Sus scrofa: one gene and its partners. The protein of the gene in region 6 purifies or fractionates together with the protein of the main gene of each other region. This does not show direct contact. Links are inferred from orthologs where the notes say so. Each region holds a gene or a part of one and is shown on either strand. Other genes may lie near its edges.

Region 1 (4,384 bases), on a different chromosome or scaffold from region 6:
CCGGCCGGAGCCCAGCGCGTGCGGGGCGGAGGCCGAGGTCCTGTCTCCAGCCCTGCTGACCTCCGCCCGAGGCCCCCAGGCATCCCTCAGCTCCTGGAAGGAGCCCGGCTCCTTCCGGCCTGAGGCCCCGCGGAGCCAGGCGGAGTACGCAGGGGCTGACCGCAGGCCCAAGGGGGCTCGCCACCTCCCAGCCCAGCAACTCCTGCACCTCGGTTTTCTCCTCTGGGAAATGGGGCTGCGTTCCGTAACCAGAGAACTGAAGAAAAGCCGGCGATCCGAGGGGTGGCGGGGGGGGGGGGTGCTGTCAGGAGGCAGTCCCCACGCTCTTCCTCCCCCTCTCACGGGGGACTCGCCCCCCCACTCACCCACAGGACTCCGCTGAAACCTCCCAGGCCTGACCCACCCCAACACCGCAGCTGTCGTTCCCAGGGCCACCCTGACAGCAGATTCAGTCGCCCTGTGCTTTTCCTTCCCTTTTTCTTTTTTTTAAGTGGCTACACCCTCTGCATGTGGAAGTTCCCTGCCAGGGACTGAATCCAAGCCACAGCTGAGACCTACACCACATCCTTTCACCCACTGAACCGGGCGGGGGATGGAACTCACGCCTCCGCAGGAACCCAAGCCGCTACAGTCAGGTTCTTACTCCACTGCACCACAGCAGGAACTCCTTCCTCATGATTTTCCTACCGTTTCATTGTGTGGCTGAAGCCGCGCCAAGAGCCCCTGTGGGGCTGTGGACACGGCTTTTCCCATTAGAGGAGCTGGCCCGGAAGAGCCACTCAATAAACAGCACAGGAAGGAAGAGAAGGAGGCAGGACAGGAAAGACCTCTGGAGCAGGGCCTGGGGGGCAGAACCCACTGTAGAAACAAGGACACACAGAGCGGGGGGAGGCCGACAAGGGGAGCAGAGACGGATGGGAGGGAATGCCAGAGGGACGGGGGGTCCCACGGGTGGGAAGGCTCAGGGCAGGAGAGATAAGGACAGCACAGCCCACGGGCCGGGCGCCCTCTTGGTGCCAGGCGGTCAGGGAGCAAGAGCACAAGACGTGCATTATCTCATTAAACACAGCAGGCGGGTAGGGTTCGAACAGAGGAGGCGATGGGGCTCTGGAGGTTAAATGACCCAACCAAGGTCACACGCTAGGCCTGGCAGTGCACACTCAACTCCAGGCCGGCGTGGCTCCCAAACACACGTCTAAGTTAACCTGTGCTGAGAGGAAGGCGATGGGAAACAAACAGAAGGCAAAGGAGGGGTCAGGCGAGTGAGGTCATCACAGCCCTTTGCCTGCGCCAGGTGTGCCTCTCAGTGCCTCACACCTGGAGACGTAACTCCGCCCCACACCTCACAGGGGAGGAAACGAGGCAGACGGTGGTCCGCCCCTCACCCTGCTTCACGGGCCTCGATCCCAGCAGGCTCTGGGCACACACACCATCCACGGACTCGCCCAACATGCTAGCCCAAGACGGAGACCTCCCCCAACCGGAGTCCCAGGGGAGGCAGCTGGCCCCTGCCTTGACCGCAGGAGAGCCAGGCACTTGGAGACAGATGTGAACAGCTGAAAAGCAACAGCCTGGATGCTAAGACAGGCCCAGCCGGACACACTGGCAACAAGAGCTGATGTGACCAACAGAACAGGAGACCAAGAGGACAGGGCATGAAGGTGGAGAAAGAGGCACGGAGAAGCCTGGGCAGACAAAAGACACAGGAAAACAGATAAAGGAACATGGGGAGACAGCGGGGTAGGCAGGCAAAGAGCAAGGACAGAGGCCCTGAAGATAAAAGAGGCAGTAAGCTGGGACTGCGAAAAAGGAGACAAGGAAAATGGGAGCGAAAGGAAAGAACATGAAATCCTGGCCCTCTGGAGATTCAGTTTGCTCAACTCTTAAATGAAGGAAAGGATTTCTACCTGGCAGGCTTGTTGATTAAATACAATGGGTACATAAAGTGCTTGGCACTGCGCCCCACAGATAACAGGAGCTCAATAATGTTGGCTGCTGTTTTAATAGGGGAAAAAAAAAAAAAACAGTATTTCCAAAAGGGAGGCATCAAAAAATGTGGTATCTTAACATCGTGTATTTATACAAGTGTACTGAAGCAACATTCAACTGACAGGGCAAACCTAAGACTCCACAGATACTATGTAGGAGGAAAACAGGTTTTTCCAAAATGAGCTGACCCAAAAATAATTATTAAACTAAATACAAGACAAGCGATACCGCAAAATTCTCCAAGGGGTGCTCCAATGACCCACGTTAAGTGTATGCAAGAGAAAATCTGTAAGTAATAATAACGGAACCCAGAGCTCCCAGCAGTTCACCACACACTTACTATGCACAAGGGCTGGGCACTTTGCCTTGGTGAATGATCACAGCAGCCCTATTATGTAGGAACTCTGAATACCCTAACTTTAAAGACTGGGAAACTGTGGCCTGGAGATGAATTACCAGACAAACATTACAGACTTACAAAAAATGGGCCTCTGATTCCACAGCCGGGTTCTTCATCACTCGGAACTCAAGAACCCAGGGGAAGGGGTTATCCTAGGCCAAGCGACAGACCCCCCGGAGAGGGAGTCGGGGTTGGAGGACAAGAGTACCAGGACAGAAGTAATAGGGGAAGACGGCGGGCCGGGGGAGATGCACAGAGACAGAGCGGAGACAGCTGCGGAGCCTAGACACGGACACTAATCCTGCCCATCACACGCTGAAATGCGACAGAAACGCAGAACCAGACCCGACACGGACAAGCAAGGACAGCGCCGTGTAAAAGCACCGAAACGGACCCGAGCGGCAGCGAGGCCCAGGCGGAGGCCCGCGGGAGGCCCAGGCGCGGACAGAGACGCGGGAGAGTCGGAGCCGCGGGCGGTCCAAGGCCGGCCCAGCGCAGACACACAAAGACCGTGGAGACGCCTGAGCGCGCCCGCCCGCCGCCCGCCGCCCGCACTCACCTGGGCCCCCTCAAGCCGCGCTCCGGGGGGTCATGGCGGGCAGCCCCCCAGCCAGCCCCCGCTCGGCCTCGGTGTCGCTGGGCGCGCGCCGGGCCGCGGGCGGTGGATGCGGAGCCGCGCTTGGACGCACGCGCGGACACACGGAAGACCGCACACCGACGGCCCCGCCGCCCCGCCGCCCGGGAAGGGCGCGGAGAGCCGGGCGGGGGAGGGGAGCCACCGAACAGACGGGAAGCAACCGAAGGCGATGGACCGGAAGCGGAAGTGGCTGCTCGACCCGCCCGGTCGCCCCTCTGCGGCGGCAAGCCTGCGCAGACTCCAGCCCCCAGCCCCCACCTGGCCGCGCGGCGTCACTTCCGGCGCGCTGACCTCGTCGTCAGGCGCCACTCGCCCGGTTGCCGCCGCAGCCTCCAGACCCCGGGAACGCACAGAAAGGGGCGGGGCGCAGCGCGGGGCCGCCGGGCGCGCTCGACCGAACCGGGAAGCCGCGCTGTCCCCAGACCGCCCCCGCACGCCAGTGCCGGACCCTCGGGGCGACCTGAGCTCCGGGCCCACGAGCCCAGACGGCTCCCGCCGCCGCCACCCGCCACCTCAGGCGGGCTCGGCACCCTCCTCTCCAGGGCCACGCCCTACACCGTCCTCCTGGACCAGCAGGCCACGCAGGCGGGGTGTGCCACCTGCAGCGTGCCAAGGGCGCCGGGGCGTCGTGGCCGGGGTGACGCTGAGGACTGCCGGGCCTCCGGGACCGACGCCTCAGCCTAGGCCAAAGGAACCCCGAGAAATGGAAGGGTGGGGGTTACATACACCAGACAAAGAGCAGCTCCATAAAGTAAAATACAACAAAATGTTTAATGAGCAAATTCGTCTTAGCAAATATGAAACTGCCACAGAGAGTAGGAGAGGGACGGGGTGACGGGGCTGGGGGGCAGGTCTGGAGAAACTAAAGTGGAAAGAATCAGCTACATAAGAAACCAAGGACAACACCGCGGAGAGGACCAGAGGCCAAGAGGACGGGAGCTGTGGTCCTGAAAGGGGAGAGGGCAGCGTAACTGGGGCCGGACAACAAAATTCAAAATAGTTTGGCCATAAAATATAAACACGCTACGTTTCTACGGTGGGAGGAGGAAGAGAAAGGGAGTGTAAGGGAGGAAAGACTGTTTCGGAGAGGGGCCGTGGGGATCCGACCCAGCCCTGTTGCGCACCCCGCCCCCCCCTTCCCTCTGTGTGTGTATCTGTGTGGGCCTGTGTGAGCACTCCCCCGTCCCTCCCCGCCCCAAGCCCCACCCCACCCCCCACCCTTAATTGCTGCCATTCCAGTTGCTGCCGGCTGTCAGGCTGTCATTCTGTCATTCGGCTGTCACTCCTCTGCCCATGGTCTTCAGAGGGGGAAAAGAGGGGGAGCGGGAGGGGGAGAAGCCCCCAGCCAGCCCTGCCCC
Region 2 (4,412 bases), on a different chromosome or scaffold from region 6:
AGGGGAGAGCACTGAGGAAATCTTCTGGCTCCACAAAAGCCTAAAACACCTCAGGAGTCAAGGCTAAGTAAGACTAATGAGTGTTCCATAGCCATAGCAGACTCCGGCACATGTACAATTAGAGATGACCCCATGAAACAGATCTGAAAAAAAAAAAAAAACTGTTTCTGACCACCAGCATCATCTCAAGAGCTCCCTCCCTTCCATCCCAAATTCTCACCAGCTTGCGGATCCGGTCCAGTACCGGGTCAATAATTTCCTTGCCGATGGTGTAGTGACCACGGGCATAGTTGTTAGCCGCATCCTCTTTCCCAGTGATGAGCTGCTCTGGGTGGAAGAGCTGCCGGTAGGGGCCATTTCGGATCTCATCTGGAAGGACATAAACCACACCGTTAGGGCACAAACCACAAGGCGGGGCTCAGCACAGACCCCCCCTCCCCCAGCCTGGCAGCTGTGGTCAGATGTATGGAAGAGCTCATGCTTCTGCCAGCCTGAGATAGCAGTGGGTGAGAGAAACCCAGACCTGCTGCCCAGCCAGTCTGCTATCAACTTGCCTTCTTTAGTGTCTAGCAGGGCAAGGGGTTTTCAGGGCCAGGAAAGCCAGGTCTAGACACCCTCACTCTAGACAGAAGCTTAGAGTCACTTTCCATTCCCTCCATTCCACCCCCCTCTTCCTCTCACCAATCACGGTGGGCTCCAAATCCACAAAAACTGCCCGGGGCACATGCTTTCCAGCACCAGTTTCACAGAAGAAGGTGGTGAAGGAGTCGTCTCCTCCACCAATGGTCTTGTCACTGGGCATCTGCCCATCCGGCTGGATCCCATGTTCCAGACAGTAGAGCTCCCAGCAGGCATTGCCCATCTGGACACCTGCCTGCCCAACATGGACTGAGATGCATTCACGCTGAAGGATAGAGAGGGAGGACACGGCATAAGCCCCACATACAGAAGTCCTTACCTCATGAGCCTTTCTCCCACCCTATCACCTACCAGTTTGGATGACTCAGTTGGTTAAAGTGGAGGCTTGGGGCTGGGCAGAGGTCAGAAGAGGCTGGCAGCCTGCCCAGGCTCCCCTGCATAAGACTTCCCAACTAGGGGCACCCAGTAGGGCAGGCCACTTCCTCAGCCTGCTTCTCCGTGGGGACCTTGTCAGGTAAGAGCTAGGGCTCCGCATGCTCCCGCCACATTCATAGGACACTCGGGGAGGACGGAGAGGGCGAGTGCATAGGAAACAGGCGAACACTGCAGTAACTGAGACAAGGACAAGTGATCTTTCAGCTGTTCCCAATTCCTACTCCCACAAACCAGCTCTCAACAGAAGAGACAGAAGGTCTTCCAGAACTATGAATGTGTGTAGCTAGAAGTCCCCTGTTTGATTAATTCTTTGCTTTGAGGATGAACAACTAGGATGTCATATAACCCTCGCCCCCTTTCATTCTTGCGGGCTGCAGGGGTGTCTCAGCCTTCCAGTCTGGCATCAACTGACCACATGAGCCATCAGGATGCCCTCCTCCACTTTAAATCCTATCTGGCTCTGGGATCAATCCCATCTGGCTGCTCTCCCCACCTCCACCCCCACACTCTGGGTATCTTCACCACCTTCATCCATTGCGGAGCAGGCACTGAAATTGCAGAGAGCAAAAAACGGCAGGCACCCGCAATAAGGGTTGTGGGCACTGGGGCCCTCGCTGCCCTAGGCTCATCCCTGCCAGTCTGAAATTAACCTCTGAAGAACCAAAGCGGTGCAGCTGCAGGGCCGGCGCAGCCTCCCTTTTCAACACCGAAATGGCGGGGTGACGGTTTCCAAATACCCAGAAGAGGAAGCGGAACCTGCGGTGAGGCCTCAGAGGTAACCCGCCTGGCCCTGGACAGGGTGAGCGCCATCCTGCACTCCGGCCCTGCATTCGTACTCCTTTAAGATTCTTTCCAAGTTACATCCCAGCGGAAAGCGAGGATTGGATTTCGGCCCCCATCCCTGGGCTATAAATACCACCCCCTACACACACCTCTTTCCCCTCCCCCCAACCTGGCCCCGGCCCGTGCTCTCGCTCAGCGCCAGCTGTCTCTGCCCGTCCGCGCACCCGGACTCCTGTTGGAGAGAGTCCGGCTCGCCTCACGAGGCCGAACCCCATTCTTGCCACCCCTCTAGGCTCAGAAGAGGGGTGCTGAGTCACGGGTGGGAGGCATGAGGGTAGGAGGGATGCTCACGTAGTCGGAGGAAAAGGTGATGGTGGACCAGGTAATCTGACCCCTTTCCACTTTCTTGCCCCGAGCACGTGTTGGGTTAGTTCCAGGGACTAGGGAGTGAGTGGGAGGCTAGGAGCCGAGGGCAGCCGAACGGGTCTCCCTCGCCGGCAGAAAGGACTGGGCGCGGGACCTCGTGACTCCCCCCAGGAGGGTTAGGGCACAAATGCTTGCAGAGCAGAAGGAGATTCCAGAGGACTCCTATTTGCTAGTGAAGAATCCCACCCCACTCCACCTCCTTCCCCAGGCTCCGAAAGTGGACAACGCTGCCCACCCAAAGTCACGGGGAGGGGGTGGGGTGGAAAGAATGCACCCCCCCCCAGAAAAAAAACCTCCGCAAGACCTAGAACTCCTAATGGAGGGCCCCGAGCATCCCGGGAGGGAGGGTCCCCGAAAGAGAGGGGACACTTGTGGGACAGGCACGATGCTGGCGGGGCCGCACTCACCATGGTGAGTCCGGGCGGTGGGTCTCACGTAGAGTCCGGGTGACGGGTCTCAGTGAGAACTGCGCTAGCTGCAGTGCCGCACCGCTCTTATACGCGGGGGGCGGGCCCGCGCGCTCCGACCGCCCACTAATAGCTGGGCGGCCCAGAGGCCCCGCCCCCGGAGGGTAGGCGGCCGTGAGGGGTTGGGCCCCGGCGAGTCCCCTCCCCTCAGCGTGCCCGCGTTGCTCACCTGTCGGACGTGGGTTAGGAGTAGCGACCCGGGCTTTAACCCTTCCCTCCTAGTTTTGAGCCGACACTCCGAGCTCCCAAGCTCCGCGGTTGGGACGCTGGGCGCGGTGCCAGGGCGTGTCTCGCCTGCACCTGCATCATGCGGGCGTCTGTCGCTCAGGTGTTCTGACTTAGGCCGGGTGCCGTAGAGGCTGTTTTTCCAAAGTGGCTGCACCCAGCCTTCGCCAGTGCCCTCCCCGCCCCGCCTCCCTGGAGGCTCCGGCCGACTGCCTGGCTTTGGCCCGTCCCCCAGGATCCCTCTGTAGCCGCACGCGGCCTGATGGTCCCCGGCGGGGACCGCTGGCCTTCGCCGATGCCTGTGGGCGGCTGAGGACCCGGAGCTGCACAGCCTGAGCCCCAGGTTGCCGATCCTTCCGGCTGCTCCGCAGAGCCGACCCCACAATCTGTCAGCGAGGGCCGACCCCCAGAATCTGCCAGTGCTAGCCGACTGCCAGCGAGTCAGAGGTCCCGTCATCAGAGCCGTCACTATTAGCTGGGCCTCGCCATGGCCACCTGCCCGCTTTCCTGCTGGAGCCCTATATGACCTTGGGCAAGTGACTTAACCTCACCGAGTCCTTGGCATCTTCACCGGTGAAGAGGAGACAAGATTCCGCCCAGAACGCGTTGTCGTGAGATAGCACAATGTTTGTTGACTCTGAGGAGGAAAAAAAGAAAATGGAGATTCTGACATTATGGTTGATTTTGATTTTACCATCCTCTTCTGTCCCTAAACCATGGGCAGGATTTGTGACTTGCATCTCAACACCCTCATCGCTCAGGTGGACGTCTTCACTGAAGCTCTTCCCTCTTTTTATGTTTCATTTCTGTTTCTTGCAGGAATGGACTTTTCAATCTATGTCTGCTTTCCTTTGTGTGCCTTACATTTCCTAGCTGTCTCCTTTCACTGGGAAAGTCATCAGAAGTGCCCTATATGCCTACTGGCACATCCTTAAGAAACCTGTCTCCAAGACTAGTCACTTGAAAAAGACTCACTTGCTTCTCCTATCACAGTGTTTCTTAGGGCCAGGGCTGGTGAGTATACAGCATAGTAGGATAAAATAACTAACAACGGCAACTTTCTACCAACAAAATAGCTGACTGACACCTTATTTAGGCAAGGTGTAGCAAGGGATGCAATGAAAGATGACAAAGTCTTTTTTCCCAGTAGACTTGCCATGTGGTTGGGAGAACAAGACATTCATAAAAAAGAAAACTGGCAAGGGCATATAATGAGGCTGCTTTGGGAAATGCAGCTCATGGTCTCTATAGAGCAAAGGAGCCTTGGTGATTACAAAACACATGGCCTCACTTACAGAATGGGAGAAAATAGTTTCAAACGATGCAACTGACAAGGGCTTAATCTTTAAAATATGCAAGCAACTCTTACACAACTCAACAGCAAAAAAGCCAACAACCCAATTGAAAAATGGGCAAAAGACCTGAATAGACATTTCT
Region 3 (4,346 bases), on a different chromosome or scaffold from region 6:
AGTTAAAACAATTTTAAAAAATCTGTTTTTTGGTGAAATAAAATTGCACTGAACTTTCTGAGAAAAATTTAGCGAAACAGAAACTCAACTTTCTTAGAAATTCTGTACTATCACTTATTAACTAAGCAAAGGTTGGTGGTGTTTATACATCAATAGCAGAAGACCAAGTTAAAACAGAGAGTGAAAAGCTCTGTAAAGTGGTGAATTAGAAAACAATTCTTGGGAGTTCCCATCGTGGCTCAGTGGTTGATGAACCCAACTAGCATCCATGAGGACAAGGGTTCCACCCCTGGCCTTGGTCAGTGGGTTACGGATCTGGCATTATTATGAGCTGTGGTGTAGGTCACAAACGTGGCTCAGATCCCAAGTTGCTGTGGTCTGGTGAAGGCTGGAGGCCACAGCTCCTAGCCTGGGAACTTCCATATGCCGCTGGTGCAGCCCTAAAAGACAAAAAAAAAAAAAAAAAAAAGAAAGAAAACAATTCTCTTTTTTTGTGGAAAGCATCACATGAAAAGGGGCAAAAAACACACAATGGACAGCCACTAACACAAAATCTCCCTCAAGAAATAAACTTAAAATGGTCATTTCCAGTTCTTAAAATTATCTGCACTCCTTTTATTCCAGCAAGGAACTGAAAACCCAACAGTCAGCTAGAGGTTCTTAAGCACAGTACAAATTGAGGGGGGTGTTTTAGTCCTTGTTCTGTCTGGCATTCTCAAGGGAAGGACTGTACGCCACAATCGAGTCAGTTAAAATTGTACACTTTCTTAAATTACTTTTTAATGTACTTTTGGTTTCTAGTTCACTTTATTAGTTAAAAAATACCCTCCAAAGATGTATTCATATCTGGCGGCTAAAATGATCTGCCCAATGTCACATATGCTAAAACAATTTTACACAGATTTATATTTTCAAAAAAAAAAAAAAAAAAGAAGCAAAGGACAAAGTAATCATTGCAGATTAAGTTGCCACTGACCGTATAAAATAAGCTAAATCGTTTCATAAAATTTAAAAAAATCTTCCTTTCCCTTGCTCCCTGGAACGAAAGCTATCGAAATCTAAGGTTTAAAATAAAGTCGAAGATGCTCAAAAACATTGTCACTTTGTCCTTTACTGTGCAACAGCTTTTTTAATAAAGGGTTTAAGGAAGTAGACTTTGAAGCTCCTCCGAGTCCCAATCTGCAAAAAGTATGAAACCCCTTTCCGGTCGCACCACGTGGTGAAGCTTTTGGGTCTTAGCTGCCTGCCTAAACAACGCCCCAGGACTTGCAGACCCGAGCCTCCGTGGCTATACTAAACAGCTGGAAGCTACAAAAGAGGCGTGGCCTTCTCGGATGTAAGATGGCGGCCGCGCGACGCTCTGGGCGGTCCCCGCCGTGACTCAGTAGCCGGAAGTCCTCCGACTCCAGCCAGTAGGAAGCGGAAGTAAAGGGCGGTCGGCTGCTGGTCTTTAGCTTTGCGAGGCCGGCTTGTGAGCCGAGCCGCGGGAAAGGCGCGTGTCGGCCGCTCACTGGCGCAGCTGCTGCCCTCTCCGCAGCTGCCCCGCCCCACCCCGCTCCACCCTGCTCCGGCCTTGTCCCAGGTGCCGTCGCAGACGGAGCGCGGCCCCGGCATGGGCTGGAAAGGGGCTGCGGGCGGCGCGTGTGCCGCCGCTGCGCGGCCGGTGACAGGTACCCCTTGGGTGGCGTGGGACGGTCTCGCGGTCAGGAGAGGGTCTGGGGCACGAGGCGATTCCGTGTCCCGGTCACCTTGCGCTTCCGTTTCTTCCCTGACTCAGTTTCCCCTCCCGTGTCCCAACCTTCCCCCCTCAATGCGAGTGACCCGAGTTATCCCTCAGTGTCTTCTGGGCAAGGTATCGTTTGTGCGAGGGTAGCCGCAGGCTCTCTCTACCCCTTTGAGCCTTCATAGAAGAGCTTGGAGACCCATGTGCTCAAGTGCAGACGCAGGTGGGGGAAGTGCCCTGACATGCATTTAGATTAAGCCTGACCCTAAGTAGGTTGAGAACCAGCAGTTTGCAGGACCCCGATAGGAGAACGAACGGAACTTTTTATAGATTTCTCTTTTCCCTAAAATGAATTCAGGTGCTGAATATAGGTTGCCGTTTTCATTTAATACGAGGATCCGTTGGCTGGAAATTGGATGATCCGGTTTCACTTTTAGTGTGGGACCTGCCAGAGGAGTAAGATCTGCGTACATCGCCAATAAGTTATGGGTGTGAACTGTTCATGTTCTTTGGCCAGAAACTCTAGATTGTTTTGCATTTCTTGCCAGATTTGAGAACTAGCATATTTTGTTCATTGGAGGTCGTGGGGTCTTATGCCTTCCTGTGCTACACTATTTTGGAAAAATTCATCATGCGCTTGGCTGTCCAATTGTAGTGTGATGTTTGAAGACATTTTAAATAGCTATATGACAACACTACAAAATTTGGGATAATTATAGCCTTTCCATTTGACTTGCTTTTGATGAACTTAGCTGAAACTCATTTTTATTAAAGGAAATAAACATTGCTTTGTACAGTACCATGGCGTCTTCACAATGCATGTTTAACTTGAGGGAAATAAACTGGAGAAAATTCTATTAGACTTTTTCTCCAGTTACTGGTGGTCGTTTTCATATCAGATATACAATATCTCTTTTTAATTGGAAATTAGGTGTTTTTGGTTCAGGGCAAATGAGTTTTGCTAAAAGGTATAAATGTATATTAAGTTTAATTATTTCAGAAGTAAGTTTATTTCTCAAGAGTGAGTACTTCCTAATATTTTCCCTCGCTCTTGTCATACATGTTGAAACTCAGATGGCTGTTTTTTTACTTGGAGGGTGCAAGTGGTTTTTTTAAAATTTTATTTTAAAGCATTTGGTAGCTATTTTCTTCAACTTAAAAATGGAGAAAAAAGATTGGTACTGATTAGAATCTTATGCCTCTTCTGTTTTCCAAAAGTGAAAAACATTTGCCATAATATAACTTTGATAAGTATTTCTGATATCTTACTGTAGATAAATGAACATGGGATAGTATCTTTAATTTAAACTAAAGAAACTGGGCCACACACTCAATCTTGCAGATGATACATTTGGGCCCAGAACTTATTGAAGACTTTTTAATTTGTCCATCATGGCATAAGCATTATGCCTATGATTATGCAGTGCCACATTGCAGATTCTGACAGCTGTCATTTCCTAGACTATTCCTTTTTATAAGCAACCTTTAGTCAGGACCACTAGGGTCAGGTTGATAAGGGGTCTTTTAAAAGGAAGGTATCCTCAAACAAAAGGCCCCTCGGTGAGGTTCTTACCTTCTGCTCCTCTGGACAGCCTTTTCTTCTGGTGTTATCTGTGGTGTCAAGGATGTGGGGTCTGGATGGGAAAATTCTTCTTCAATGTATAGCTTTCTTCCCTTTCCCATCTCTAATGGTGCTATGCTGTGTCCGAAGAACTTTCTGTCTCTTTAAGACAGAGCGAGGGGATCTCTGGGTGAGTCATGGTGCTTATTGTTTTCATTTTCACTCTTTTTAAGTCCTAGGTTTTCGGTAGCATCTTTGCTTGTGGTGCCACCTTCCACTGGCTTTCACTCATCCCTTAATGAACAGTCTGTGTTGATTTTATTTTCAGTGCCTCCTGTGTTCCAGGCATTTTGCTAGGCATGTGACTGTGGCAGACAGAACTCTCTGCTCTGGAGGAGATCACATTTGGTCCCCAAAGCCAGCCCAAGTGTGGATCTGTCAGTGGTTGCTAGATTTGGTTTAGTCCCAACTTCAGACCCACACTGTTAGTGTTAAGATTGAAACTCTAGCTCTCTCACCCACCTGAGTCTGAAGGACTCTGCCTGTAGAAAATCCTTGGACTTACCTTGGGTCTCATAATAAAGCCCTTTGCTATGTCTGGGTCTCCACAGGATGAATTCTCACTCCTTCTTAAAGCCGGAGAACCAGGGCAGATAGCATGCCATTGGAGAACTTTGGAAAACAGGCAAATGTGGGTTCCAAGCATGGCTGTATATTATTTGGTCAAGTAACTTAGCCTCTCTGAGCTTCCATGTTGTTATTTTTAAAGTGGAGATGCTCCTGTGTCACCATTATGCAGCCTATTTATGGACCATCTGCTGTTTGCCAGGCACTGTGCTGTTCGATGTGGTGAACAGAGTGAACAAGGCTGCACCCTCAGGAGCTGCAGTCTCCTGGGCCATCATTTGGAAGGGCGGGGAGCTGGTGTTTGCAGAGCACTGGCAGTGGTGCTGCCAGGAGTGTAATTGCTCTGTAAATGCGGGCATTTCCACGGGGCCTTCTGACACTCTCAGTCCCCTCCCCACCCTCTGCATGCAGTGTACCCTGTAGTAGCATCCCATT
Region 4 (3,866 bases), on a different chromosome or scaffold from region 6:
AAATACTGTATATGCTATGCTGCTCTGGCTGCCTTATTACAAATAGTCATTCTTCTTTGTATAAAGAAATTGGAGCGCATTGTAGAGATGATGTATGTTGCTTCAGATCAAGGGAAGGCTATAAATTCCCTGTCTTCTGATGGCGTTCAGCAGTGTACAAACTTCTATAAACCAGGGTTTCTTAGAATTAGTCACTATTCTCAGGGTAAAGAAAGATTGGAAGGAGATATAAGTAAAAATATTGGAACTTAACAGAATGGTTTTTAGAAAGAAGTAAAAGGCACCTTTCAAGAAACTATAGTTGTAATTATGAAAAAGGTGAGGAAGGAATGTGATTCATTTCAAATACATTTGGGAGATTATCAAGTTGTCTCCATGCACAGAGGCAAATCCCCATGGATGTGATTTGCAGGGCTGTATTTCTGCAGACAGAAATCAAGTGCTCTTGTTATCACTGCTCTGTCAGTTGCTTTTGCCATTGTCTAATTCCTAATCTGCAAAGGCAGAAGATAAAATGCTTACTGGAAAATCGTATTTAACAAAAAGCTGAGTGGAAATACTTACCTCTTCCTATGACTTCATTGAAATGCACAATCAGGCTGCTTGGCCCAATCACTACATGCTGAACTGCCTGGACCAGCTCTGGATTTAGAGCACTGAGGTCAATGTGGACGGTATTTTGCAGTAATGGACTAGATATATCAGAGTCTCCACTAGTTAGGATGGGGGATAGGTCTGTCAGAGGATACTGCACTTGTCTGCATGATCCATTCTGAGATGAGTTAGGGAACTGGTCTGCAAGATAAAGCAAAATTATTAGAAACAATAGTGAAATCTCACTTAGGAGAGACTTTAACAGTGGCAGTAAATTAAGAGCAAAACCAAATTTTAAATTCAAGTTTAAAGAAATAGTGTTTTTATCAATGAATAAGGCTAGGAAGACCTTTGCAAATGAATTGGTTTAATAAAATGATAAACTGGGAAAAGATACATGTGTATATTTAAAAAAATACTTATCGATTTTCCTTTAAGTATATTAAGTAGTAACTTTAAAAGATTTTTTCCCTCTTCATTTCCTTAGACATGTCTCTTTTAATATATAGCTAAAAGCTAAGCTTGGGGGTTGTTTTTTAATATACTATGTTCTTTACAGTGGAAGGCAGCAAAAGTAGTCAAGCTACTAGCTTGTGTGACAAAAATTCAACACAAATATAAGAAAATGAAAAAGAAGCCTTTTGAGAGATAAGTGTTTATTAATGGAATTAATTAGTATTGCTCAAAACCTATGTGGATTCCTGGCCAAAGAAAAATATGTATAGTGAAATATTATATACTGTATATAAATATACATACACACAAATGACTAGAAATATATAATGGCTAAGTTTTCAGGAGTCAAACTTTTTCCCATTAGGGGTAAATTCTCCATCATGTCGTGACAGCAGTATATCTAGTGTTACTGCTACCTAGATAAAGCAGGTTAGAATTGGGTTAGTGTGCTCTCTTCTCATTGCTTAGTTGAGGGCACTTGGAGAGGGACCAGATTAGCATTCCTTACTAGTTTATCTTTATAACCAAACCTCTCTAAGAGCCTCAGACAAGGTTCCCTTTTGCTGGGTGAATTTTTCCATTTCAGGGGTAAGGAATTGTGGGGCTGAGAATAAATTTCTTAATGCCAAATAGGGCAGAGAAACCACCAGTTGCTTCTCCCTTTTCCCTAGGAATCCGTACATGTCAAAGAAAGGACATTATGTCTGCAGGAACTGACTTGAAGATAAACTGGGATGGGAATTGAGATGTATTAGTATATAATGCCAGGAGAGGGGAGAAGCTTATTTGGGCAGGGGGCCCATAACCAAAAGAAAATATTGTTTGTTTGTAAATGAGCAGGAAAATCAGAATTTAAGAAAGGGGCATAAAAAGAAAGTTGATGGTACCCTGCCTATTCCTAACCCCACTTAAGCATTTTTAGTATTTTCCAGATTGGATGGTTTGGTTAAAATATCAATTTTACAGCAGTAAATCTCAACAGTCCTCCCAGAACAGCTCTGGGACCACCTGTAGTTATAGTAATTACTAGCTGGAAATTAGACAGATGAAACCTTAAGGAAAGGATGGAGACCATCAGGGGAGTGCTTGAGATGTTGAATGGGTAAGGGAAGGAAGAAGCCTAGCTGGGCATCAATTCCTTTAATACCAGAGCCAGGTTTTTGGAAACTTCCCCAGGGGATGGAAATGCAGATGAGCCTCCCTAAACTCAGTTTCTTTACCTTCATTTCTCAAACCTTTGCACCTAGAGATGAGGGTTCTAAATTCTCAGAGGTATAGATAGAGATTGAGGGATAGCCTTGATGAGGCACAGGAAAAAGTCCTCTAGCATGGAAATTCTACTGACCTCTGGGCTAAGTTCAAGTATGAGCACAAACCAATTTAAACCATCAATGTATGATTCTGGTGTAACACACAGAAGTCTAGGTCTGCATGAAAGACTGACAAGGAAGCTGTCCCCATCACATATAGAGAGAAGCTCTATAGGTGCCTCTTTATTAGGTGCTGGCTGTGCATTTCTTTATTATTCTCTTTGGATGCCTTTCCTTTGCCTATTTTATTTTTCCATGTCTTCAAGATGTAGGTTCAATGTAGGAAAGGAGATGAAAGTCAAGTTTCTTAGCAGCAATGATGACAGAGGTCTGGCAGGTAATGAGGCTGAAGGAAGATTTAGTATGCTTCTTTTAAAAAATTACTTCTGAACTTTAAAGATCTCAGATTAGAGCCGTTAAATGTGAATATAAAATAATAAGTAGGTCTAAATTTCAAAACTGTAAACTGGATGATTCGTCCATGTTGTTAAGGGCTTGAATTCTGAAAGGTGAGTGGAGTCATGTGGGAAAAGACAATACTATTAACAGCATCTATAGAACCCTCTATAGAACTAACATAAACTTGGAAATGTAAGCGGCAATAAGTGTTGAAAAAGTTAAAATGTTAAGTGCCTCATTGCTCTTGTACTTGTTTTGATGAGCAACTTCTAAGTTTTCCAGTATCCTCAACCATTTGTGACTCATTTTATTTGTCCAATGGTAAATATTCAACCAGGGAAATGGTTGTACTTGACTCACGTCCTGTAACTTCTAAAGATAATGGAGCAGATACAATACAGACATTTTGCTTTTACCAGGAGATTTTAAATAAAACAATGTGAAATGCTCTGGATAACCTGACCATTATTAGGCCTAGTGTTTCGCCAAACAGATGATGCTAAACCTTCCATTTTAAATAGCATAACTGAAGGTTTTTATTGGATGAGATTCAAAATATATTCAACTCTGGGATGCGGGCAAAAGGCTGAGTACTAAGAGTTCATTGAGAAGCCTTCAAAGGAGTGCTAAAGATATAATTTAAATGTTTGAGGATCAACAGGTAAAAAATGTGGCAGTACCAACTTCTATTTCAATAAATACAAGTTTCATATCTCAACTCTTCCTATGTTGTTAAAATGAGCTTCACAGCTGCTTAGCATCGCATTCATATGAAAAACACGTTACCTTTGCACAAATAATTTTAAAGTGAACCTTTTTGTGAGAACAGAGCTTAAAGACTCTAAAAATCTCATATAATATATAAATGAGTTCATTTTAGAATAAGAGCAATGTAACTCTATCAAATTAAATACTTCTTTGGCCAAAGAAGAGGTGAACACTTCTTTTATAATTTTATAAAAATATAAAGGCAAAACCAAAAATAAACAACAATGCTACAATCTACTTTGGTGTATGTATAAGTATTTTTCAGAACAGTAAACTGAAATGTACCTTCTGGAAAAGTAGCTCGGTAGTCTACAGGTTCACTTGAAACCATTTCTGTAG
Region 5 (4,370 bases), on a different chromosome or scaffold from region 6:
GTGAAAGAAGACTGTCTCTTAGGAATTTCACCGATGGAAGAAAGCATCGAAACAATGGGGAAAACCTCAAGTTTTTAAGGACACATTATAATGTCTCATAAAATGTCAAAATATCTACTTCAAGACTCCTATAAAAATGTTACTTAGTACATAGGGACGTCATCCTCCTTCTCACACAGATTCAGCATTAAACACGGAGTTACAGGTTCTCCTATTAACATCATTCTGAGTGCCAAATCTTCACATTAAATTCCACAGAATTAAAGCAAGTTGGCAATCTGGTGGTCAGAAGACTCTTCTATGTATCTAGAACAGTACTTGGTACTCCGTAAATTATTTTTGTTACATAAATATGTTATAACAGAGTAGAAAAAATTGTTTTAGATTAAAAACATCTTAACCCAAAAAGAATGATACTCAGGGGGGCTTGGGATCTCATGGAAGCAGGTAATCTTATCGAAGAGAGAAAAGTACTTCAAAACTTTAAAACACAGGCTTAGGAGGCTAGCTGTCTCTATTTTATAGTGTCTCAGCAAGAGACTAATAATGAAAAAAAAATTACAAGGAAAATGTGCTAACAAATATTTAGAAATAGGGAGCAACTGAGAAAATAAAAATGTCAAGGAAAATAATTTTATGTTTACTAGTCAACAGTTAAAACACTAAAGGTTACTATTCGTTTTGGTTCTCAGTTGTTCACCAAACACAGTGGATTCTTGAAAATAATAGTCAATCTTTCGTACTGCACAGGCCCCCAAAACTACTATTTTTGTTTAAAATGTTTAACACACATTCTTCTTCCCCACAAAAAGCTCTCTCCAATGGAAAAGCTAACAGGAAAAACCAAAAGCAGATAGTTTCTTACCACTAACAAGTTCTGCAGTTACAGCGGAAGATAATTCTTAAGTTTTATTAATTAGGTACCACTAAAGAATGTTAAGAATGATGGGAATAAGATAAAATGCTAGGAATAAGATGAAAGCCGTCTTACTTTAGCAAAAGCAGAAACAGGAATACACATTAAACGGAAATATGGGTCTATGCTAGTAGATAAAAATCTTTTCTATGGAAAGCTAAGTATAAAAAGGTTGATGGTAAAAACCAGAACGTGTAAGGGGGAAAAAAAAATCCAAGACAATTCAAAGGCAGTTTGTAGAAAATAAAAAAACGCCTTGTCACTTTTTTTTTTGGCTTGCCTAGATAACACAAAAGAACACATTTGGTTACAGTGTTATTTAGATCTATTACCTATTACCTTTAAGAGACGTATTATCCACCGTTCTCTTTGCTCCCCACCCCCCAACAGGAGGAGGGAATCCAAGGAGAAATATTACTGGCACATAGGCTGTTTCAGTCAATCCATCTCTCGATTTTATACAGAGGTCCAGTCTCTAGTGGACTTAACACTCATTTTTTTTCTGTACCCCCTAAATTTGAAACCATGAAAAACGAGGAACTTTCCTCTATGATTTCCTCTGGAAACAGGCCCGATCTCAAGGATAAGCCTCAGCCTGTTATCTGGGTGCAGATGAAGTCTCTATTGATCGGGGCCGGGGGAAAAAATTCCCCTGGAGAGGAATAACCCGTCAAGAAAGGGAAAAACATTGCCGGAATGGGTAAAAAGGGATTTGGGTGCAGGCCTGGCCAGGAGCACAGACCAAGGGAGAAGGGAATGGGTAGGGCTCTGGGAAGTAGGTGGAGAGAATCATAGGGGTCACAGGACAGGAAGGAGGAGGAGGCCGGGGTCCGAACTGGACGGGCAGCGGGGCTCGGAGCTTCCACATGGCCCCTAGGCCCGGCTCCCCCACCCCCACCCTTGCTGAACACGCAGCGCCGCGCAACCTAACTTCCCTTCCCTCGCTCTTTCTCCCTCCTGCTGCACCGCCGCCCTCAGGCCGCGCGGCGATTGGGCGGCAGTCACCCCGGCGCGCCGCGCCATTGGCCAGGTGCCGGGGCCCGGGGCGGGACACACCCACCGGCTTCCCGACGGAGGGGTTAGGTTGGACCGGGGGAGGGGGAGGGGGACGGGATGGGGCGGGGTGGGTTCCCGAGGCCTGGGCCTCCAGGAGGGCGGGAAGGCCCGCACGCAGGGGATGGGGAGACGGGCGGGATGGGGGACGGCGGGGTGGCACGCACCAGGTTCTCCACGGCCGCACGCTCCAGGAACTTCTGCGCCGCTTCCAGTTCCAGCCGATCTGGGGGGAAGGAAAGTGGGAAAAGGGACAGGTCAGAGGGGCCAGGGCTTCCCCTCCCCCCACCCAATCACCTCAGCCCGACCCCCGGCCCCCGCGTCCTACCGGGAGACACGGTCTTCTCGAGGATGGTGATCAGCTCCATGGCGGAGGTGGTGGCGGCGACTCCTCTTAAGACTGCTGTCCGGCCTCTCGGGCGGCGGCTCCAACTGGGGATGGGGGTTGGGGGTCGGGTGGGAAGGGAGGGTGGGGTGGGGGGCGGGGGTCACCACAATCCCATTCACTGGCTCCCTCTTGGTAGTCGCTCCAGCTCCCTTTCCTTCCTCCTTTCCTTCCTTCCTCCCTCCTAATTTGCTGCTGGCGGCGGCAGCAGCTGCTCCTCTGGCGGCGGGGGAGGGACCCCGGGGGCAGCTTTGAGCGCGGCTGGTGCTCGGGTGGCGGAGGGAGAAAGAAGGGAAGGGAGGCGGTAAGTGAACGGCGGCTCGCAGGGAGGGAGAGAGAGGGAGGGAGGAAGGCGGAGGGATATTCGGGCCGGACCTCTCCGCGGCGGCACCGCGCTCCATGTCGATTGGCCACTGCCGTGGCCACGCGGAATCCCCAATTGGCCAGGCGGTTAGCATTGAAGGGCCGCCCTGCGCCCATTCGCCGGCTGGTTTCAAGGCCCGGGTTGGCTGGGCGGGCAGTGGGATGGAGCGCGTGGATTGGCCGAGGGGAGGGAGGTTGGGGTGGGGCAGGCCAGAGCCGGCCGCTGATTGGGTTGGCCTGGTAAAGGCCTTCAGCTCAGGCCGGCTGGGCGCCGAGAGGAGGGTGGACCGAAGGTAAGACTGTAGGCCCGCGTGATTGGCTGGGCTATTAGACGTTGATAGGATAGGGCACCCGGGAGAACTGGGGAGAAGAGTTCGGGGTCGGGGCCGCGGAAAGGCGGGAGGTGCCCCACTGCTTTAGAAGCCCAGCGCGGGGCACGATGGGACGCCCCCGGGAAGGGGCGGAGCCGTGTCCGGGTTGAGGTTGGGAAGCGCCGTCACTCGGAGGGGCGTGTTAAAGAGGGTTTCGCGGGCTCGAGCGGGGGAGGGGGGACCGTTAAAACTGCACCGCACCCACAGGAAGCTGCTTTAATGGCTAGGCCTACTTGGTACCAGACTCTTGGTTGGGAAGGACCTTGAAGACCATGCCGTTCAACTTCCAGTTTGCAGATGTGGAAACTGAAGGCCAGAGAGGGTATGCGACTTGTCCAAGGTTACTCAGCCAGTTAGTGGCCTGGTTGGGACTGGACTCAAGCACTCCAGACTACCGTGGCTTTTACACGCAGCACCTCCAAGGGGGTGAATGCAAAAGCAGTCCCTTTGGACATATGTATAGTTTGAGGCCTGTGCTGTTGTGAGACGTAACACGTGGGGTGGACACTTGGATTCCCCTTAAACCCTCATCCATAAGCTCTCGGGTACTTGAAGGAATAGAAATGTTTCACCCTGGAAGGTACCTTTTCTATAAAGGCACAACCGTGTACCAGAGAAAATGTGTGTACAGCCCTAAAAGATCGCCTTTTTTTAGTTATAAGCCCTGAGACAAACTAATGAAAGCCTTTCCTTAGCAAAATGTGCATACAATTTCTGGACTTCCCTTTAGATTGGGAATGGGCTCCAGGTGAAGAAGTTGCTGAATGGTTACATTTTCACCATATTGACCTAGGGTTAATAGAATGTAGCTAGCTGACAGATCTCTTCTCTGCATTAGCTCGAGCTTCTGAAATAATTGCCCTACTCTAGCCATACTGGGAAAACCTAAGAGCAACTCTGGCCTTGCTGTGAAGTTCCAACTAAAAATTAGGAAAGGCTGGCCAGCTACCTTTAATCCTTGAAAGAAAAGAAAAGAAAAAAAGACATTTTTCTCTATCAGAAATATCTGAGTTCTGGAGTTCCCGTCGTGGTGCAGAGGTTAACGAATCCGACTAGGAACCATGAGGTTGCGGGTTCGGTCCCTGCCCTTGCTCAGTGGGTTAAGGATCCGGCGTTGCCGTGAGCTGTGGTGTAGGTTGCAGACGCGGCTCGGATCCCGCGTTGCTGTGGCTCTGGCATAGGCCAGTGGCTACAGCTCCGATTAGACCCCTAGCTTGGGAACCTCCATATGCCGCGGGAGCGGCCCAAAGAAATAACAAAAAGCCAAAAAAAAAAAAAAGAA
Region 6 (3,866 bases):
AAGTTCTCAGAAGCTATTTGTGGCCTGAAAAGCACCAGCTGAGGGTGCGGTTTCTCCTTCCATGGGGTGGGGCGGGATTTGAACCTGTCGCAGATCAGGTCGCTCAGGAGGAAAGTACAGGTGGCAGCTGAAGGGCAGTTTTGTAATTTCCAGTGTGACTAACCTCATATCTTCAGTTCCTTTAAAAAAGTACTTGAGTTCCGTCCTTTGATATTTTTCCCTTAGTAGTTAAATCATTCCAGAGCAATTTATTGAATAATGAATTATTTTCTTATTTGTTTGAAATGTTACCTCTTTACGGACGTGTGATTGAGTTAGGCTTATTCCTACTGTCTTAAGTGTTGTGTTTTGTTTTGTTTTAATTTTGGCTGCACCTGTGGCACATGGAAGTTGCTGGGCCAGGGACTGAACCTGCACCACAGCCATAACCAGAGCCCTGACAGTGACAATGCCAGATCCTTAACCTGCTGAGCCACAAAGGAACTCTCTCTTATTGTCTCATTCTTAACTCTCTATGGCTTATTCTTACATGTCTACTCTGAAACCAAAACTATCTTGGTTTACGGCTCATAGCTGTGTAACATTTGCATACACCTGTCCACCGTTGTTCTCTCTCAGTACCTCCTTGCCAGGGCTTTCCTGCAGCACTGGGCAGGGAGGCCAGGTGTACCCCTTTGGGCTGCTTGATCTGGTCCACGGCAAACCCATATTAACTTCAAAGCCGTGCCATGTCAATTTTTTCATTATAAATCTACACAATTTAACTTTTCCATTATCCATCAGACAGCTGAGGAAAGGCTAACCTTGATTTCTGGATAACACAAAATTTTGACCTGTAAAATAAAGCTTTCAGCTCCTTGCAGACATGGTGGGTGCCACACTGGGTATCTGTTGGAAGAATATCTTCGCAAAACAAAAGGGTTCAATGCCCATGCTCATGGCAGCATTTCATCACGACTGTTAGAAGATGGACGCAACTCAAGTGCTCCCAGCAGGTGAATGGACAAACCAGAGTGCGTGTACCAGTGTCCGTGCGGTGCAAGACTATTAGCCACGTCAAGGCGGGAAAGTCTGATACCTGCTCTCGCTTGGGCGGCTCTGGAGGACCTTGTGCTCAGTGAAAGAAGCCAGTCACAAAAGGACAAACGGTGTGCGATGCAAGCCGTCCAATTCACAGAGACAGAGAGATGGCGGATGCAGGGGCTGGGGCGTTGTTGTTTGGTGGGGACAGAGTTTCAGTTTTGCAGGATGAAAAGAGATGAATGGCGTGATGGTTGCCCAACAGTGTGAATGTACCTGATGCTGCCATACTGCATGCTTAAAAATGGTTACAATGGCAAGTTTTATTTTAAGAAATTTTATCATAGTCATCAACCAAATTTTTAAAACCCCCAAAACAGAGCAGCTCTAGTTGATTTTGAAGATCGATATCAGTTCCAAATTCTGAGACCAAAAAAAAAAAACAAACCAATCAAACCCATGCATCTCTTGGAATGGTCCTAGGAAGCAAAGAGGTGAGAAACAGTGATGGCTCCTGATTTTCAAGTACTGAAAGGCCAGGAAGAGCTGGAAGGGAGCAAGCTGAGGGGGGCTTGGTGTTCTCAGAGCCCCCAGCACCGCCAACAGTGCAGGCTGGGCAGCCCTGGCCTGCAGCCTGGCTCCACCAGCCTCTCCCTCGCGTGGGCTGCTTGACAGTGAACAGTGGCATGAGGCGCATGTGGACAAATTCATCCTCGTGCGCTCCCCGATTTGGCAGGGGAGCCCAGGCCCCCCAGCAGGAGGGCAGAGGTCAGCTCCACAGTTCTAGAAGGCTTGGTGCCAAGCAGAGGCTCAGAAGCAAATCAGACACACACAAGAGCCTGATCGGCCTCCTCAACAGGATGGGGGAGCCATCGAGGGCCATGACTGATTGGCAGGCTCTTCTCAATGCCACACAGCGGCTCAGCTGTCCTGGGGGTGGTCTGCCAGCAAGGGTGCTAACTGACCCTCTATCTTAAAACAGGTGCTCTTCCAGCAAGCAGACAATCTGCTGACTACTTACTTTTCAGATGAATGTAACTCAGCATTAACTCAGCCTTCTCCGACACCCACCCCAGCACTCCGCGCTCTGCCCACCTTGGCGGCTCTGGGGAACACTTACAGCTGCCCAGCTGGCTCTGAAAGTCCATGGACATGTTGCTTAGAAAGTCGCTGTTGACAATGTCCCTCCACTGGATGGACTCCGCGTGACAGAGGGCAGGGTTGTTGCTGAAGCGCACGGCGCCTTGCAGGATCTCTGTGCGAGAAAGGACCCCATGAGAAAACGTGCCCCCCTTCTAAACACTCGTGAAATATGCCTGCATTTCTCCAGTTTGCCTTCGGCTACAAGGATGGCAGCTGGCATGGAGACTCCCCATGGAACTCCCGGCAGGGGGGGTGAGAGGGAAGCTGGAGGCTCCACTCCACGGAGGGGTCACGATGGCCTTGCACCGGGTCCTTGAACGACGCACGGCCAGAATTTAGGGATGTAGGGAGGAAGGAGGCCAGTGCTTGAGCCTCTTAGCATAAGTGATGAGTGCGCAGTGAGTTGGTGGTTCTCGGGGAGGCTGGCCCGGAATGACTATGTGATGCAGATGAGAAAGGGCAAATGGGAGGGGCGGGCAGGGACAGGGAGATGCTGGCAGGTGTTCTGTGGCATCTCATTGGAGAAAGGGGTGTGAGGTGGAGGGGGCAAGAAGTATCTGTGACCAGGAATTCCCACTGTGGCTCAGTGGTTAACGAATCTAAGAACCATGAGGTTGCAGCTTCGATCCCTGGCCTTGCTCAGTGGGTTAAGGACCCGGCGTTGCCGTGAGCTGTGGTGTAGGTTGCAGATGTGGCTCGGATCCCACTTTGCTGTGGCTGTGTTGTAGGCCAGCAGCTATAGCTCCGATTTGATCCCTAGCCTGGGAACCTCCATATGCTACGAGAGCGGCCCAAGAAATGGCAAAAAAAAAAAAAAAAAAAAGTATCTGTGACCTAGATAGATCAGGCACCAGGGCTGCAAAGGCGTAAAGGACAGTTAGCTGTTCAAAGGAGCTGATGGTGCGAAGAGTCAGGAGTGATAAGAAAAGTTGAGCCTGAGCAGAGGGCTTGTTCCAGCTGTGACATTTATGTAAACATCTGCCTAGTGACTCAGGCACACAGAGCACGGCGGGGAGGGCCATGGGGTCTGCAAAGATGGACGATTTCTGCTGGCTCCTGGGAGACGGGTCATCCAGTGACCTCACATCCGCGGAGGGCCTCCACCCCCAGCAGGAGGGCACCAGCGGTTTACAGGCGCTACCTGAGCTGATGCAATGACTGCGCCTCTCCTGCGGATGCCTGAGTTCTGCCCAGCATCGCACAGCGGAGGGGCCGTGGAAGGAGGGCTCTGCTGGGAAGAGTCTCCAGGGCACTGGGGAGGACACAGCTCCCAGAGGGCAGAGGAGCACGGGGGGACCGGGGGGAGGAGCACGGGGGGACCGGGGGGAGGAGCACGGGGAGACGGGGGAGGAGCACGGGGGGACCGGGGGGAGGAGCACGGGGGACCGGGGGGAGGAGCACGGGAGACTGGGGGAGGAGCACGGGGGACTGGGGGAGGAGCACGGGGGACTGGGGGAGGAGCACGGGGGACTGGGGAGGAGCACGGGGGACCGGGGGAGGAGCACGGGGGGACCGGGGGAGGAGCACGGGAGACTGGGGGAGGAGCACGGGGGACTGGGGGAGGAGCACGGGGGACTGGGGGGAGGAGCACGGGGGACTGGGGGAGGAGCACGGGGGACTGGGGAGGAGCACGGGGGGACTGGGGGAGGAGCACGGGGGGACTGGGGGAGGAGCACGGGGGGACTGGGGGAGGAGCACGGGGG
Region 7 (3,866 bases), on a different chromosome or scaffold from region 6:
CACTTCATGCTGCCATGAAGGATAAGCAATTTTAACAGCAAAGTATGTATGCATGAGAGGGATAAAACTGACACTACATAAACTAATAGGCAAAAAAACCACATCTAGTTCCACAGATATTTTTAGTCAACATAGCAGGAAAAACAGATAACAGAAAGACTAACAAAGTTTAAATACTTACATATTATCAAAATTTAGCATTGAAGGAACTTTTCTTACCTGCCATACACCCACAATTGCATTGGCTACTAATATAAGTAAAATTACAAAGGGTTCTACAAAGGCTGTAATTGTTTCTTCGCCTTCTTCAAACCAAGCCAAAACCTGTAAGAGAAATGGCACACATTAGAATTGTGGTATGTTCTTAGGCTTTTACAACAAAAGTGGCCGGCATGAAACAATTACAAGATAAAAAAATCTCTTTTCTTACCATCCTTAGAAACAAATGGTAGCAAAATGTAATGACATAAACAACACATATCTTTTTCCTAATAATTCTTAAGACTCAAAACTATAAACTTCTTAATAATATCCTTAAGAGCCTTTTTTAATGTAATAATTGTTTTAAAATCCTAAACAAGTACTTTTGGGGAACTAAACCCCATTCATTTTATATGTGTATAAAGAAAACATTCCTGATTTTGTTAAAGTAAAAAGCAATCAAATTTTGTTAATTTGATTAACATTCCTATCAAATAAATGCTCACATGGCATAAATTCATAGCAAAAACAATTTGACCATTGACTCAAAATTAGATATATAAACTGTTAATGTCCCACTTATTTTCAGTGGTGTTACTGCAAGGTTGTTCTGTGATCAGGAATCTCTCTTGAAGGTTATGACATCTAGTGTATCAATACAACAGTTCAGGATATAAAAGCCCCAAAATGTTACAACTGGGCCCAGAACACTGTCCCAAGAAAAATGAACAAAGAATTAACTTCTAACTCACACAACTGTAACTTTCAGATTTAAAAGCTACAAGTTGAGAGTCACACTGTACTTCATAACTGAGCAAGCCTAAGATTGTGAGAAAGAATTTAACACGGTGTATCTGAAAATAATAAAAAACATGTTAAAAGAGGCATATAAATGGTTAAAATTTCAACAACCAATTTTTGTGGGAAACTGCCAATCCAGAAAAGACGTTAAACATATCTAATGGATTCAACCTGAGAGGTAAGATGTGTGTGCCTCTGCCTTTTAACATTGCTTTGGATGTTTGCATATTTCACAATAAAATATTTTAAAAGATCTATTCAGTAAACAATGGAAGCACCATTTTTGATACTCTTTAATATTGTCAGATATGATTTATAATAATAATGAAGCCATCTGACTACTTTTATACTTAGTAGAATACTATAAAGTGAGCTTTGACACAAACAGCAAACCAGAAAGATGATTAAGGCAAGGCCCAACCTGAATTTTGGAAGTAAAAGAGAATAATGATAAATTAACAAGAAATATCAACTTGGAGGGCAGGTATGCTCACGACTATACCACCAACACAAGAAAGATCAATTTAAGCAGGAGAAAAACCAGGAAACACAAGAACTAGGTCCTGATAGATGCCAATCACTGCTAACAGCTAATGAACCAGGGCAGGCAGAAAACCAGAATGAATATAAATGTTGCTCAAAGCTTTCAACAGGGCATTCCTGGTGTTAAGGCTAGGCCTAATGCCAGAATAAAAACTTCTCTAGGAAGTTATAAATACTGATAGATGCAAGATCACAGCTGCTTTGACACTAGCCTTCCAAATATTTGCCAAGGAGAGCATATCAGAAATAAGAAACTTAATTAGCTCTTGGGGGAGAAAAATTGCTCAACTTGAAGAATAACTAAGACCTTTTCAAAAGGTCAGTGAGGCATTAGCAACTGTAAGATAAGCTTCACACCTTGTTAAAGTGGGTATGAATTTCCCTCTTGGCAGCTGAGCCTGAGGAACAAACTTAAAGCAATATCCCCTACCAGCTAGAGCAAAGGAAAAGACTAAGGCAAGCATGACAGGATTACCAAAGCAAACCTCTACTTTTCATGAAATGTGTGGTTCATCTGCACAAGTGGTATTCATCAATAATGCAATAACCCTCACCTGCACAATGTAGTAGACTTTTCTTCCACTGCATTATTATCATTATTGTTATTTTGGCTGCATTTGCAGCAAATTCTCAGGGACAGGGATCAAATCTCAGCCAAAGCTGGGACCTATACCACACAACACCAGATTCTTAACTCACTTCGTCACAATGGAAAACTCCTCCAATATGAATTTTAAAATGTGTATGTGTAAGAAACACAGGAATGCATAGTTATTTGAAGGTTCTGTAGAATTACTGAATGTATAGTTACTGCTTGATGAGATACTAGAGGACAAATCTCTCAGCCTGGAAGGATAGAACTGAACCTATTAAACACTGACAACTAGTAATTTTCTAACTACTTTAAAAAACATCCTTTTCTGGAGTTCCCATCGTGGCACAGGGGTTAATGAATCCAACTAGGAACCATGAGGTTGTGGGTTTGATCCCTGGCCTTGCTCATTAGGTTAAGGATCCAGCGTTGCTGTGAGGTGTAGGTGGAAGATGCGGCTAGGGTTGGGTGTTGCTGTGGCTGTGGTGTAGGTCGGCGGCTACACCTCTGCTTAAACCCCTAGCCTGGGAACCTACATATGCTGCGAGTGCGGCCCCAGGAAAGACCAAAAAAAAAAAAAAAAAAAAAAAAAAAAAAAATCCTTTTCTGGAGTTTCCATCATGGTGCAATGGAAATAAATCTGACTAGGAACCATGAGGTTGAGGGTTCGATCCCTGGCCTCGCTCAGTGGGTTAAGGATCCAGCACCTCCATGAGCTGTGGCGTAGGTCGCAGACATGGCTCGGATCTAGCATGGCTGTGGTGTAGGTGGGCAGCTACAGCTCTGATTAGACCCCTAGCCTGGGAACCTCCATATGCTGCAGGTGCGGCCCTCAAAAGACAAAAGACAGGAAAAAAAAAAAAAGAAGAAGAATCCTTTTCTTGGAATTCCCATTGTGGATCATCGGATTATGAACCCAACTAGTATCCATGAGGATGAGGGTTCACTTCCCGGTCTCGCTCAGTGGGTTAAGGACCCAACATTGCTGTAAGCTGTGGTGTAGGGGGCAAAGTTCAGATCCAATGTTGCTGTGGCTGTGGTGCAGGCTGGCAGCTGCAGCTCCAACTCAACCCCTAGCCTGGGAACTTCCACATGCCACAGGTGCAGCCCTAAAAAGTAAACAAACAAACAAATAAAAACAAATTTTTTTTTTTGCCACACCCATAGCATACAAAAGTTCTCAGACCTGGGACAGAACTCCAGCCACAGCAGTGACAAGGCCAAATCCTTAACCATGAGATCATTAGGGAACTCCAAAAATTATCTATATTTAAACCCACAAATGCAAGTTCCCGCTGTGGTGCAGTTGGTTAAGAATCCAACTGCAGTGGGTCGGGTCCCTGTGGAGGTTCAGGTTTGATCCCCAGCAAGGCACAGGGGGTTAAAGGATCCAGCGCTGCTGTAGCTGTGGCTTGGATTCAGTCCCTGGCCTGAGAACGTCCATGTGCTGTGTGTGCATCCATAAAAAACAAACAAAAAACCCAAAACCTCACAAATAACCTTAAGAATTAAATGCTACAACTCAAATTGAAGATCAACTGTACTTCACTTACTGCTAAGAACGAATCCAGTGAATTATGTTCAAACCACATTGTACAATCCTTCATGGTTTTGTCCTACTGAAAAGAAAACCTCTCTTGGGTAAATGGGAAGATGATGCTGACAAACAAAAGACTCCACGAGTTCCCGTTGTGGCACAATGGTAATGAACCGGACTAGTAACCATGAG

The links.
Region 1: the proteins of EGFR (region 6) and EPN1 purify together in Homo sapiens (affinity purification with western blotting; 3 studies listed by BioGRID). This does not show direct contact. The link is inferred for Sus scrofa from reciprocal best matches to the Homo sapiens genes EGFR and EPN1.
Region 2: the proteins of EGFR (region 6) and TUBA4A purify together in Homo sapiens (affinity purification with mass spectrometry; 3 studies listed by BioGRID and IntAct, with this or other methods). This does not show direct contact. The link is inferred for Sus scrofa from reciprocal best matches to the Homo sapiens genes EGFR and TUBA4A.
Region 3: the proteins of EGFR (region 6) and UGGT1 purify together in Homo sapiens (affinity purification with mass spectrometry; 3 studies listed by BioGRID and IntAct, with this or other methods). This does not show direct contact. The link is inferred for Sus scrofa from reciprocal best matches to the Homo sapiens genes EGFR and UGGT1.
Region 4: the proteins of EGFR (region 6) and MET purify together in Homo sapiens (affinity purification with western blotting; 6 studies listed by BioGRID and IntAct, with this or other methods). This does not show direct contact. The link is inferred for Sus scrofa from reciprocal best matches to the Homo sapiens genes EGFR and MET.
Region 5: the proteins of EGFR (region 6) and KPNB1 purify together in Homo sapiens (affinity purification with mass spectrometry; 3 studies listed by BioGRID and IntAct, with this or other methods). This does not show direct contact. The link is inferred for Sus scrofa from reciprocal best matches to the Homo sapiens genes EGFR and KPNB1.
Region 7: the proteins of EGFR (region 6) and ATP2A2 purify together in Homo sapiens (affinity purification with mass spectrometry; 4 studies listed by BioGRID and IntAct, with this or other methods). This does not show direct contact. The link is inferred for Sus scrofa from reciprocal best matches to the Homo sapiens genes EGFR and ATP2A2.

What each region holds. Positions count from the first base shown.
Region 1 is NC_010448.4:59,788,793-59,793,176, reverse strand, and holds the start of EPN1 (epsin-1), read right to left. Parts: upstream 3,055-4,384; 5' UTR 2,949-3,054; intron 1-2,948. UniProt on the Homo sapiens protein: Binds to membranes enriched in phosphatidylinositol 4,5-bisphosphate (PtdIns(4,5)P2). Modifies membrane curvature and facilitates the formation of clathrin-coated invaginations. Regulates receptor-mediated endocytosis.
Region 2 is NC_010457.5:121,291,223-121,295,634, forward strand, and holds the start of TUBA4A (tubulin alpha-4A chain), read right to left. Parts: upstream 2,827-4,412; 5' UTR 2,694-2,826; coding exon 2,691-2,693; intron 905-2,690; coding exon 682-904; intron 370-681; coding exon 221-369; intron 1-220. UniProt on the Homo sapiens protein: Tubulin is the major constituent of microtubules, a cylinder consisting of laterally associated linear protofilaments composed of alpha- and beta-tubulin heterodimers.
Region 3 is NC_010457.5:59,262,127-59,266,472, reverse strand, and holds the start of UGGT1 (UDP-glucose:glycoprotein glucosyltransferase 1), read left to right. Parts: upstream 1-1,419; 5' UTR 1,420-1,612; coding exon 1,613-1,670; intron 1,671-4,346. UniProt on the Homo sapiens protein: Recognizes glycoproteins with minor folding defects. Reglucosylates single N-glycans near the misfolded part of the protein, thus providing quality control for protein folding in the endoplasmic reticulum.
Region 4 is NC_010460.4:29,447,241-29,451,106, forward strand, and holds part of MET (hepatocyte growth factor receptor), read right to left. Parts: coding exon 3,813-3,866; intron 796-3,812; coding exon 565-795; intron 1-564. UniProt on the Homo sapiens protein: Receptor tyrosine kinase that transduces signals from the extracellular matrix into the cytoplasm by binding to hepatocyte growth factor/HGF ligand. Regulates many physiological processes including proliferation, scattering, morphogenesis and survival.
Region 5 is NC_010454.4:23,914,247-23,918,616, reverse strand, and holds the start of KPNB1 (importin subunit beta-1), read right to left. Parts: upstream 2,835-4,370; 5' UTR 2,338-2,834; coding exon 2,298-2,337; intron 2,196-2,297; coding exon 2,137-2,195; intron 1-2,136.
Region 6 is NC_010451.4:139,420,566-139,424,431, reverse strand, and holds part of EGFR (epidermal growth factor receptor precursor), read right to left. Parts: intron 2,276-3,866; coding exon 2,141-2,275; intron 1-2,140. UniProt on the Homo sapiens protein: Receptor tyrosine kinase binding ligands of the EGF family and activating several signaling cascades to convert extracellular cues into appropriate cellular responses.
Region 7 is NC_010456.5:31,681,483-31,685,348, reverse strand, and holds part of ATP2A2 (sarcoplasmic/endoplasmic reticulum calcium ATPase 2), read right to left. Parts: intron 325-3,866; coding exon 220-324; intron 1-219.